Coturnix japonica: one gene and its partner. The protein of the gene in region 2 binds, or shares a complex with, the protein of the main gene of each other region. Links are inferred from orthologs where the notes say so. Each region holds a gene or a part of one and is shown on either strand. Other genes may lie near its edges.

Evidence for each region.
Region 1: TAF1C (region 2) and POLR2F share a complex: the UniProt entries of both Homo sapiens proteins name them as parts of the pol I pre-initiation complex. The link is inferred for Coturnix japonica from reciprocal best matches to the Homo sapiens genes TAF1C and POLR2F.

The regions. Positions count from the first base shown.
Region 1 is NC_029516.1:46,598,685-46,602,968, forward strand, and holds the start of POLR2F (DNA-directed RNA polymerases I, II, and III subunit RPABC2), read right to left. Parts: upstream 3,006-4,284; 5' UTR 2,909-3,005; coding exon 2,889-2,908; intron 2,583-2,888; coding exon 2,513-2,582; intron 2,424-2,512; coding exon 2,293-2,423; intron 856-2,292; coding exon 784-855; intron 1-783. Other genes in the region: C1H22orf23 (UPF0193 protein EVG1), read left to right, coding at 3,069-3,147, 3,347-3,409, 3,878-4,063. UniProt on the Homo sapiens protein: DNA-dependent RNA polymerase catalyzes the transcription of DNA into RNA using the four ribonucleoside triphosphates as substrates.
Region 2 is NC_029547.1:8,327,232-8,331,558, reverse strand, and holds the start of TAF1C (TATA box-binding protein-associated factor RNA polymerase I subunit C), read right to left. Parts: upstream 2,990-4,327; 5' UTR 2,898-2,989; coding exon 2,766-2,897; intron 2,392-2,765; coding exon 2,298-2,391; intron 2,139-2,297; coding exon 2,032-2,138; intron 1,946-2,031; coding exon 1,850-1,945; intron 1,767-1,849; coding exon 1,693-1,766; intron 1,625-1,692; coding exon 1,377-1,624; intron 1,300-1,376; coding exon 1,189-1,299; intron 1,102-1,188; coding exon 978-1,101; intron 898-977; coding exon 826-897; intron 737-825; coding exon 601-736; intron 513-600; coding exon 384-512; intron 281-383; coding exon 106-280; intron 13-105; coding exon 1-12. Other genes in the region: TMEM8B (transmembrane protein 8B), read left to right, coding at 3,145-3,325. UniProt on the Homo sapiens protein: Component of the transcription factor SL1/TIF-IB complex, which is involved in the assembly of the PIC (pre-initiation complex) during RNA polymerase I-dependent transcription.

The DNA of each region.
Region 1 (4,284 bases), on a different chromosome or scaffold from region 2:
GGTGACCTGAAGCAACTTAGGCTGAACTTGGAGATCTGACTGGAGCACAACCCATGGGGTTTTGGCAACAGCAAAGGGAGCTGTAATAGATAAAGTCTGCAAGAGCAACTGCAATGCACTGAGCAGAGGGACAAATCAATTTGAGAACCCAGTATGTAAAGGAATCCAGTTACTCTGCTTGAAGATTACCTGCATGCAACATAGTAACCTGCTTTCTACACTGGCAAACTGTGTGCCACCAGGGCACTCTGCTGTGGGCCTCTAAGCAGTGATCCAGAAACTGCCAGAAAAGGTTCAAATCAATCTCTCTGTATGCAAGAGGTGCGTCTCCTGCCAGCACAATAAGCCAAGTATAGAAGGGTGCAGTGAAACAACATTCTGACCAGAGTCTCCACATCACCACCCTGACCCCAGTTTTGTTTATTTAAGTCAGCAATTCATCTGAGCACAGGTCTGTTCAGAAGGCTGCTTCAAATTAATTCCTTTCAGAGAATTAAACTGATTCCTTATGGGGATCTTTGGTTCTCATCATAGAAATGACTCTTATATAAAAAGAGGTCAGAGCACTGCTCATCATCAGCAAGAACTCCTAGGATGGGAGAAGCTGTGGAGAAGGTCCAAGGAGGAAAAGTGGAAGGAAACTGCAGAACTCACCGTGGTTGATAAAAAAAGAAGGTTGTCTTAGAATATACTGCATGGAATAAGTTGTAAAGTGCTGAGATAAGCAGAGGATAGCTTGCTTTGTAGAAAACAATACATACACTGCCTAAGGCTGGGACTTACTTGAGTTCTTTCATGGCAATCAGCAAGGGGTCTGTCTCTCCTTCCAGCTCCACCATCACGGGTGCACACATCCTGGGACAAACAGCAACAGCCATTTCAGAGAATGTACAGAAAGACAGAAGGGCCAACATATGACTGCATGCTGCACTCTTATCCACTCTGGGACAAAGGTTATCCCCAAGTGGCTACGGATTGAGTTTTCATTTGAATGCTCTTAATCCACCCCTCATCCTCTGCAAGTCAGCTGGGACTTGAGTGCTGGTCAGAACCACACCTGTCTAGTCTCACTGTGCTGTACTTATATGTGAAGAATAAGGGCAGATCTAAAATTAAAAATAATAGAGTTGGAACACTATAAAATGGGAATCTGACTTGCTTGAATCTTCAAGGCTTCCTTCAAAGGAAAACAAAGGGCTAGATTTATAATGCACTCTATCTCTAGAGCAAAAAAACAAATGCGTTTTGGTGAGGGCTGTAACAGTAAAGCAAACACAGTTGACAACTGTCTCAGGTGGCAGCAGAAGCAACAGAAGTTCACATTATGTGTGGGTAAAGCCACTGGGGGGCTGCTGCTGGCCTAGAGTCAACATCAATAGTCAACAGAATACGGAGGTGATAGAGACCAGGCACCAGTGTTTTGTATTAAATGCCTGGCACTGGCTCATCCCATCTCTTCCATCCTTCTGGCCTGCCACCAGTTGAAACAACATGCACAGAATTCCTTCCTGGAGTGATAACCAGGCGAAGAATAGCTCAGCAAAGTGATGATTAAGCAAAGATCACATAGAAGCTCATTGGTGGTAATCGAATCAGCTTCATTTTCAGGGTGGATGTAGCTAAGATTCCTTTCAGACCAATTTCAACACAGCCTAATCATCTCACTTACACAGCAGTTTCTCAAAGATCACAAAGGTTTTAGCAGGCATTACTAAAACAGATCTGGACAGATAAAAGGAAGAATTTGAGAGGAACTTGTCTTAAGGAGTGCTTAAAAGAGGATTTAAATGTTATTACCTATTAGAAGTGATGCTCCACTATTCCAAATAGTTAGTGAACATACAGTGTGCCACAATATAACCGTATGCTTAGTATTTCAAGACAGCTGTGCCATTCCTAGAGTTCTGATAGCCTTGTGATAATAATTAATGATATTACTTTATTACTTTTATTCAGCTTCCTCAAAGCTGAACTTTGCAGTAGTAGTTCTGAGTTTCCCAGCTCATGCTGGCTGCCTTATAGAAGGCAGAAAGCAGAACCAGAATGCCACGTTACCCACTCCATCTGCTTGTGACCCACAGCATCAGCTGGGGTGAGATTCAGAACTCACGTGTGGCTGACAGCTCACAGTATTGCTTTTTATTGCTTTTCACTGTTGATGGAGATGGCGATTCCCAAGCGGAACCGCCAGGTAAAGAATCACTTAAGGCTTTAGGGAGAAAGGAAGGAGCTTTAACAGGTCAAGCCATGAGAAGCACACAGTCCTACAGCAGGGATCCAGCTAATACTCACGCGATCTGGAGGGCACGTGTGCCCAGCACTCTGGCTCTCTCATACTTGGTCATGTAGGGGGTGGTGATTCGCTTCTGGTTCGCTGCCTGGCGCTCTCCGGAGGGGAGGATCTCCACGTTCTCCTGTCCCTCCTGGGTAAAGCACAGCACGACACAGCACCGTTACGGGCTGACTCCATGACCCGGAATGATCCATGATCGGAGCCCCGCAGAGCACCCACCTCCTCCACGTTCTCCAGGTCATCCAGCCCCTCGTCTTCCTCCACATCATCGAAGTCATCCCCATCGAAGCTGTGAGAGACAGGCAAGCACACATCGCACACAGGCCGGGAGACAGCGCCTGGACTCGGACTTAGCGCTGGACCGTCTCTAAGTCCAGGCTTTGATCTCTGATCCCAGCCCCCAGCCTCAGCCCTCAGCCCTCAGCCTCAGCCCTCAGCCCTCAGCCCTCAGCCCTCAGCCCTCAGCCCTCAGCCCTCAGCCCTCAGCCCTCAGCCTCAGCCTCAGCCTCAGCCTCAGCCTCAGCCTCAGCCTCAGCCTCAGCCTCAGCCTCAGCCTCAGCCTCAGCCTCAGCCTCAGCCTCAGCCCCACTCTCACTTGTCCTCGTTGTCCGACATCTTGTTTCCTCGCTCCCCGGCGGAAGTACTACCCACTTCCGGTCGTGCGCCGTGACGTCACGTTTCCGGAAGTAAACCGGCGGCGCCGTTGCCACAGAGACAGGACGCGGCTCCGCCTGCCCCGCTGTCCCTAATTGTTCTCCCACCGTCGCCACCAGCCATGGCCTTATCGACGGGAACGAGGCCAGCGGGAAGAGGCAGAGCCCGGTACAGCCCCGAGACACGAGAGGTGCTGAGAGGTAACGGGTTATGAGGGATGGAAGGCCGCGGGGACTCGGGGAAGGCGGTTGTGGGCCCTGTCCTGGGTCCTGTGCTGGGCCCTGTGCTGGGCTCTGTCCTGGATCCTGTCCTGGGTCCTGTCCTGGGCCGTGTCCTGGGCTCTGCGGGGCCGGGGCAGCCCACTGTGCTGTGTAGTAACACGTAGCTGTTGTTTTTTAGCCCTGATGGAGGAGTCGAAGCTGACGAGTTTCCAGAGGCGATTCCTGATGGACTGTTTGAGGCGTGAGTGCTTCCCACCTGGCACTCCTTCCCCAGCACTGTGCTGAACGCTCTCTGCTGCTTGCACTGCGGCCTTCTAGTACTTGAGGGAAGCTTACAAGGATGGAGATGGACTTTTTACACTGCGTAATGGTGACAGGACAAGGGGGAATGGCTTTAAACTAAAAGAGGGGAAATTTAGGTTAGATATTAGGGAGAAATTTTTCACTGAGAGGGTGGTGAGGTGCTGGCACAGGCTGCCCAGAGAAGCTGTGGGTGCCCCACCTCTGGAGGTGCCCAAAGCCAAGTTGAGCAGCTTGACCTGGTGGATGGAAGCCCTACCAATGGCAGGAGGTTGGAACAGGGTGGTCTTTGAGGTCCTTTCCAACTTAAGCCATTTTATGGTTTTATGACCTTCTGCTGGTGGTAGGCTGGGGCCACTTGCCCAGACTCCTCTGCATCTGACATCAATATGTTGGGTTTGTTCTCCAGGGGGAGATTCTCTGCCCCTCCAATGCCACCCTACCTCCAGCCAAGAACAAGTGCTCGCGCCTCCTGCTTCCTCCCCACCGTGCCATCAGCCAAGCAAGCTGCCAGCTAAACCCCATCTTCGGCCTGCTGAGGTCTGCCGAGCAGGAGATGCCTACATCCGAGAGAAATTCAGGCCACAGGCAAGGCGTAAGTAAGCAAACATCACAGATAAATAAATCATGCTGTCCAGTTCTTCTCTTTCCCTTATGTCTAACCCCTCAGCACCTTTAGGGAATATCCTTAATTATTCTTCATGCTTTCTGTCTTCAAAGATGCTTTAAAGGGAGATCTCTGAGGGAGCGCCTGCTGCAAATGCTCACAGAGTTCTGCCTGCTGCCCAGGGGGACAATAGGTGACAGGAACTTGCA
Region 2 (4,327 bases):
TCTGGCTGCCCCCTGCAGTAAGACATGTCAACAATGAGCTGGTGAGGCAGCATGATCAGGATGTGGACATGAGGGGAATCTGCGTTCCCCTACCTGGTTTCTCACCTGTGTACTGCAGCAACAGCAGCTCCTGAGTATGAGAGGTGCCCAGCAGCACTTTATGACTCCTTCCAGACTCTCCCGGCACAACATCAGCGAACAGAGGGGGGAATTTCATCATGTGTGCCCATTTCAGCACAGGCACCAGCGGCAAACGCTCGTCCAGCAAGTACACGGCAAACTGAAAGGGGGCAAAACTCAGCAGGGTGCCCCCCACCTGCATCCAAACCAGATGCACGAGGTGGGTGGGGAGGTCTGGGGACACTGAGCCATGGAGGACTCACCTGGGTGGCAACGAGGTACTGGCAGGGGTGAGCCCTACCCAGGTACATGGGCAGTACCACGCGTTCACCCTTCTGGCACTTGGCTTCCTCACCCACCTTGAAGAAGTTGAAGTGGCATCTAGTGGGGGCCTGCAGTGGCATAACAGGGTGCTGTCAGCACCATGGGGCTGACATAGGTCACCCCACAGCCCACCCTGAACCCCGTTCTCATGCTCACCCGAGTATCCAGGCACAGGATGCCAGTGCGGTCAGCACAGCTCAGCACCCGCGGGTGAGCAGTGAAGTCACTCCAGCGCCAGGGTGAGTGGTCCCGGAAAAACAAGGTCTGGGGGTCATGGCGGAGCCGCTGCAGCCTGTAGGGAAAAGGACAGAGCTCTTCCTTGCTGTGGGGCACCCCTGCCTCCTGCAGCACCAAACACTGGGGATCAGAGCCCCAACTCACCCTGTCTCTATGTTCCATAGATAGACAGCTCCACTCTGCGTACAGACTGACAGCTCCCCAGGCAGGTGTGGGCTGTGGGGCAGAGACATGGCGTTACATTGGAAGGCTTGTAGCTGAGGACCTTCCCAGAGCTCTGTATTCCCACCACACACCTGACGGTGAGGCAGGAAGCTGGCACATCAGTGTGGATGACCTGCAGTGAGCTGGGGGCAGCCCCTGTCTTGCCTGACATCCTCCAGACACCACAGTAATAGTCAGAGCGAACGCCAACAAAGTCTAGTAGGAGACAGGAGAGAGGGCAGATGAGAGAGCAGGGATGCCACTATCTCTGTATGCAGTGCACATGTCCCAGGGCTTACTCACCCTGCCCATCCACCCGGGCAGCAGCTACTTGCCGGATGCGCCCGTTGAGCTCAAACTGCACTGGCAACCCCTGGGCCCGCGGCTGCTCCTCCAGCACCACATTCTGGAAATCTGGAGTGCAGGCTAAGGGCACTGCCACACAGTGCTCCCCTGTCCCAGAGTCCCCCAAGTATCATAGGAAAGGATACAGAGGTGGTTCATGGCCAACCCGCCAGGGTACACCAGGCATCCCATGTCACTGCTTGCATCCTGAGGGGGCAGCCAGGCTAGTGCTCCCCCTGTGGAACTGTCATCGAAGAGCAGTCTGGTCCACTGTAGCAGCAGCTCTTCATGCACGCAGTCGGCCAGCAGTCCCAGTGGCACCTCAAAGAGCCAGTCCCGGCACAGGTGAGAGAACAAGCGCAGGTGGTTGGCATACGGATGCCGAGGGCAGCCACTGTGAGGGGACAATCAGTGCCAGGTAGGTGTCGGAGCCCACCGCCCTCCCAACCCAGCAGCACTCACCGCCTGGCTTCCATATTGTTGATCTTCTTCACCATGGATGTCATACGGATGGTTGTGTCCTTGGCACTGCCTTTCTGCAGGGAGGAGAGAAGTGCCACTATGAACAGAAAGGAGGGGGTACACCAGTGCCCCCCTCAGCATCACCAAGGACACTGACCCCGAGGCTGTAGTCTCCCAGGTGGAAGTTGTTGTGCAGCAGCTGCCCCAGGGAGCTGAAGGCGTCCTCAGGATGATCCACAAAGAAGTGCCCTAGCTGCGTGGGGACAGCAGTGTGGGGCTGTGCAGTGATGTCATGGTGGAGCTCAGCCCTGTCTCCTCAGCAGCACCCAAGCCCTGTACCTGCTTGGCAAAGTCCAGCGCAGCCCCAGACTTCCCAGTCTGCAGCTTTCTATGCAGGACACCGTGGTAGAGAATATCCTGAGCGGTCACACTGGGGACCGAGCAGCCTGTGAGGGGGCAGGGGGCGGCGGGGGGGGGGGGGGGGGGGGGGGGGGGGGGGGGGGGGGGGGGGGGGGGGGGGGGGGGGGGGGGGGGGCTGCCGAGTGCGTCCCAGCACCAGGTGGCAGCCCCATTCTCAGCCCCCCCTGTGCCCCCTCAATCCTCACCCACGTTGGGCGGCAGCAGCGGCACCGCCGCGGGCTCAGCCGGCGTCCAGCTCTCCCCCTCGTGGCTGCGGAGGGGCACGAACGGCGGCAGCACCTGCAGGGACAGCGGGGAATGGAGGTGAGGGTCAGTGCCCCCTCAGTACCCTCAGAGCCCCCTCAGTACCCTCAGAGCCCCCTCAGTGCCCACAGAGCCCCCTCAGTGCCCACAGAGCCCCCTCAGTGCCCACAGAGCCCCCTCAGTGCCCTCAGAGCCACCTCAGTACCCTCAGAGCCCCCTCAGTGCCCTCAGAGCCCCCTCAGTGCCCACAGAGCCCCCTCAGTGCCCACAGAGCCTCCTCAGAGCCCCCTCAGTGCCCTCAGAGCCCCCTCAGTGCCCTCAGAGCCCCCTCAGTGCCCTCAATACCCTCACTGCCCCCTCACTCATTGCCCCCCAGGCCTCCCCCATCCCGTTCCCCCGTTACTCCTCACCTGCCGCCGTCCAGGCCCGGCCTGCAGCACCTCTTCCCGCTCCCCCCATCCAGCGGCCGGAGCCGGACGCCCCTCGTCCCTGGTGGGGCCGGATCCGAAGTAAGAAGGGAAGAGCACGCCCGGGAACTCCATGGGCGGTACCGGGGGCGGTAATGGTGAGCCCGGTACCGGATCCGGACCGGAAGTGCTGCGCACGCGGTCCCGACGCGGTAGGAAGTTGGATGACCGGGAAGGGCGAGGCCTAGAGTGCGACAGCGCCCCCTAGCGTGTGGGAGGTATCATGGCGAGCAGAAAGCGGGGCCGCGCCGGTTGTGAGTGACAAGCAGAACCGCCAATAGGAAAATTGGGGAGGGAGAAAGGGGGCGGGACGGATGACGTCATGGTCGCCCCTGCGCGGCGGGGCTGCTGGAGCCGCGCGCCCCTCGGCAGCCGGCGCGGTGGGATGGGGCGGCGGGGCGGCGGGCGGGGGCGGCCGCTCACACCGATACCCCTCCTCCGCCTGCCCCTGCTGCTCCTGCCCCTCCTCCTCCTCCTCCTCCTATGGCCGCCGCCGCCCGCCGGTGAGTGTCGAGGGGCCGAGGGGGTCGGGGAGCTGAGCGCTGCGTGGGGGATGGGGGTGAGGAAGGGGGGAGGTGTGTGCTTGTATTAATGGGGTGAGGATGGAGCGCAGACCGTCCGCAGCATCTGCCCGCCGTGGGATGACAGTGTGTGTGATGGGGTGCGGGATGTGTGTGCAGCGAGATGTGGGGTCAGTGTGCAGCAGGGCACGTTGATGTGTGGGGTACCCCACATTACACCATGCAACTGAGTATAGGGTGCGTGGGCAGTGGGGCAGGACGTGTGAGCACAATGGGGCATATTCATGTGTGATGGGAGATGGCAGTGGGGTGTTGGCATAATGGGACATGGAGATGTGTGTTCGGTGGTTATGCTTGACAATAAGCAGGCTGTGGGGCACGCGTGCAATGTGGTACATAGGGAGGGCTCAGAGGTGTGCGTGCTGGAGGGACACAGGTGGTGTAAGTGCACAGGGACACCCAGAGAGAGGGGTCAGACTCATGGTCAGGGGTTACGGGGATCTGCAATTGCAGCGTGTCACCTGGACAGAGGGCTGTGAAGTGGGGCAGCAGGGATGCATGCAGTGCGGGGGATGTGTGTGCAGTGAGGATGAGTGGGGGGACACTGGAGTGAATACGTGATGAAATGAGTGTGCTGTCGGGCTCTGGAGCTGCCTTCATTTGGGGGCTGCGGAGGGGTATGCGGTGTTGTGTATGGGGGATCACGGAGGAAGGGGGCCGAGCTGTGGAGTAGAAGCGCTATGGGGCCCTATGGGGCGGCTGGGGGAGCTGTCCGTGGTCCTGAGCCCGACATCAGGTGAGCTGTCCGTGGTACTGACCCTTCTGGGAGAGGAGGTCGCCTCTCTTCGGCCTCTGGCCTGGGGCAGAGGCGCTCTTGCTTTTCTCCTTTCTCTCTTTCATAGATAGGAAATTCTGTTCCATCTTCCTGCTTTTCTGCCTGTGCTGTGGCCTCACTGCCGCAGGGCTCCAGCCTGACTCTCCCTG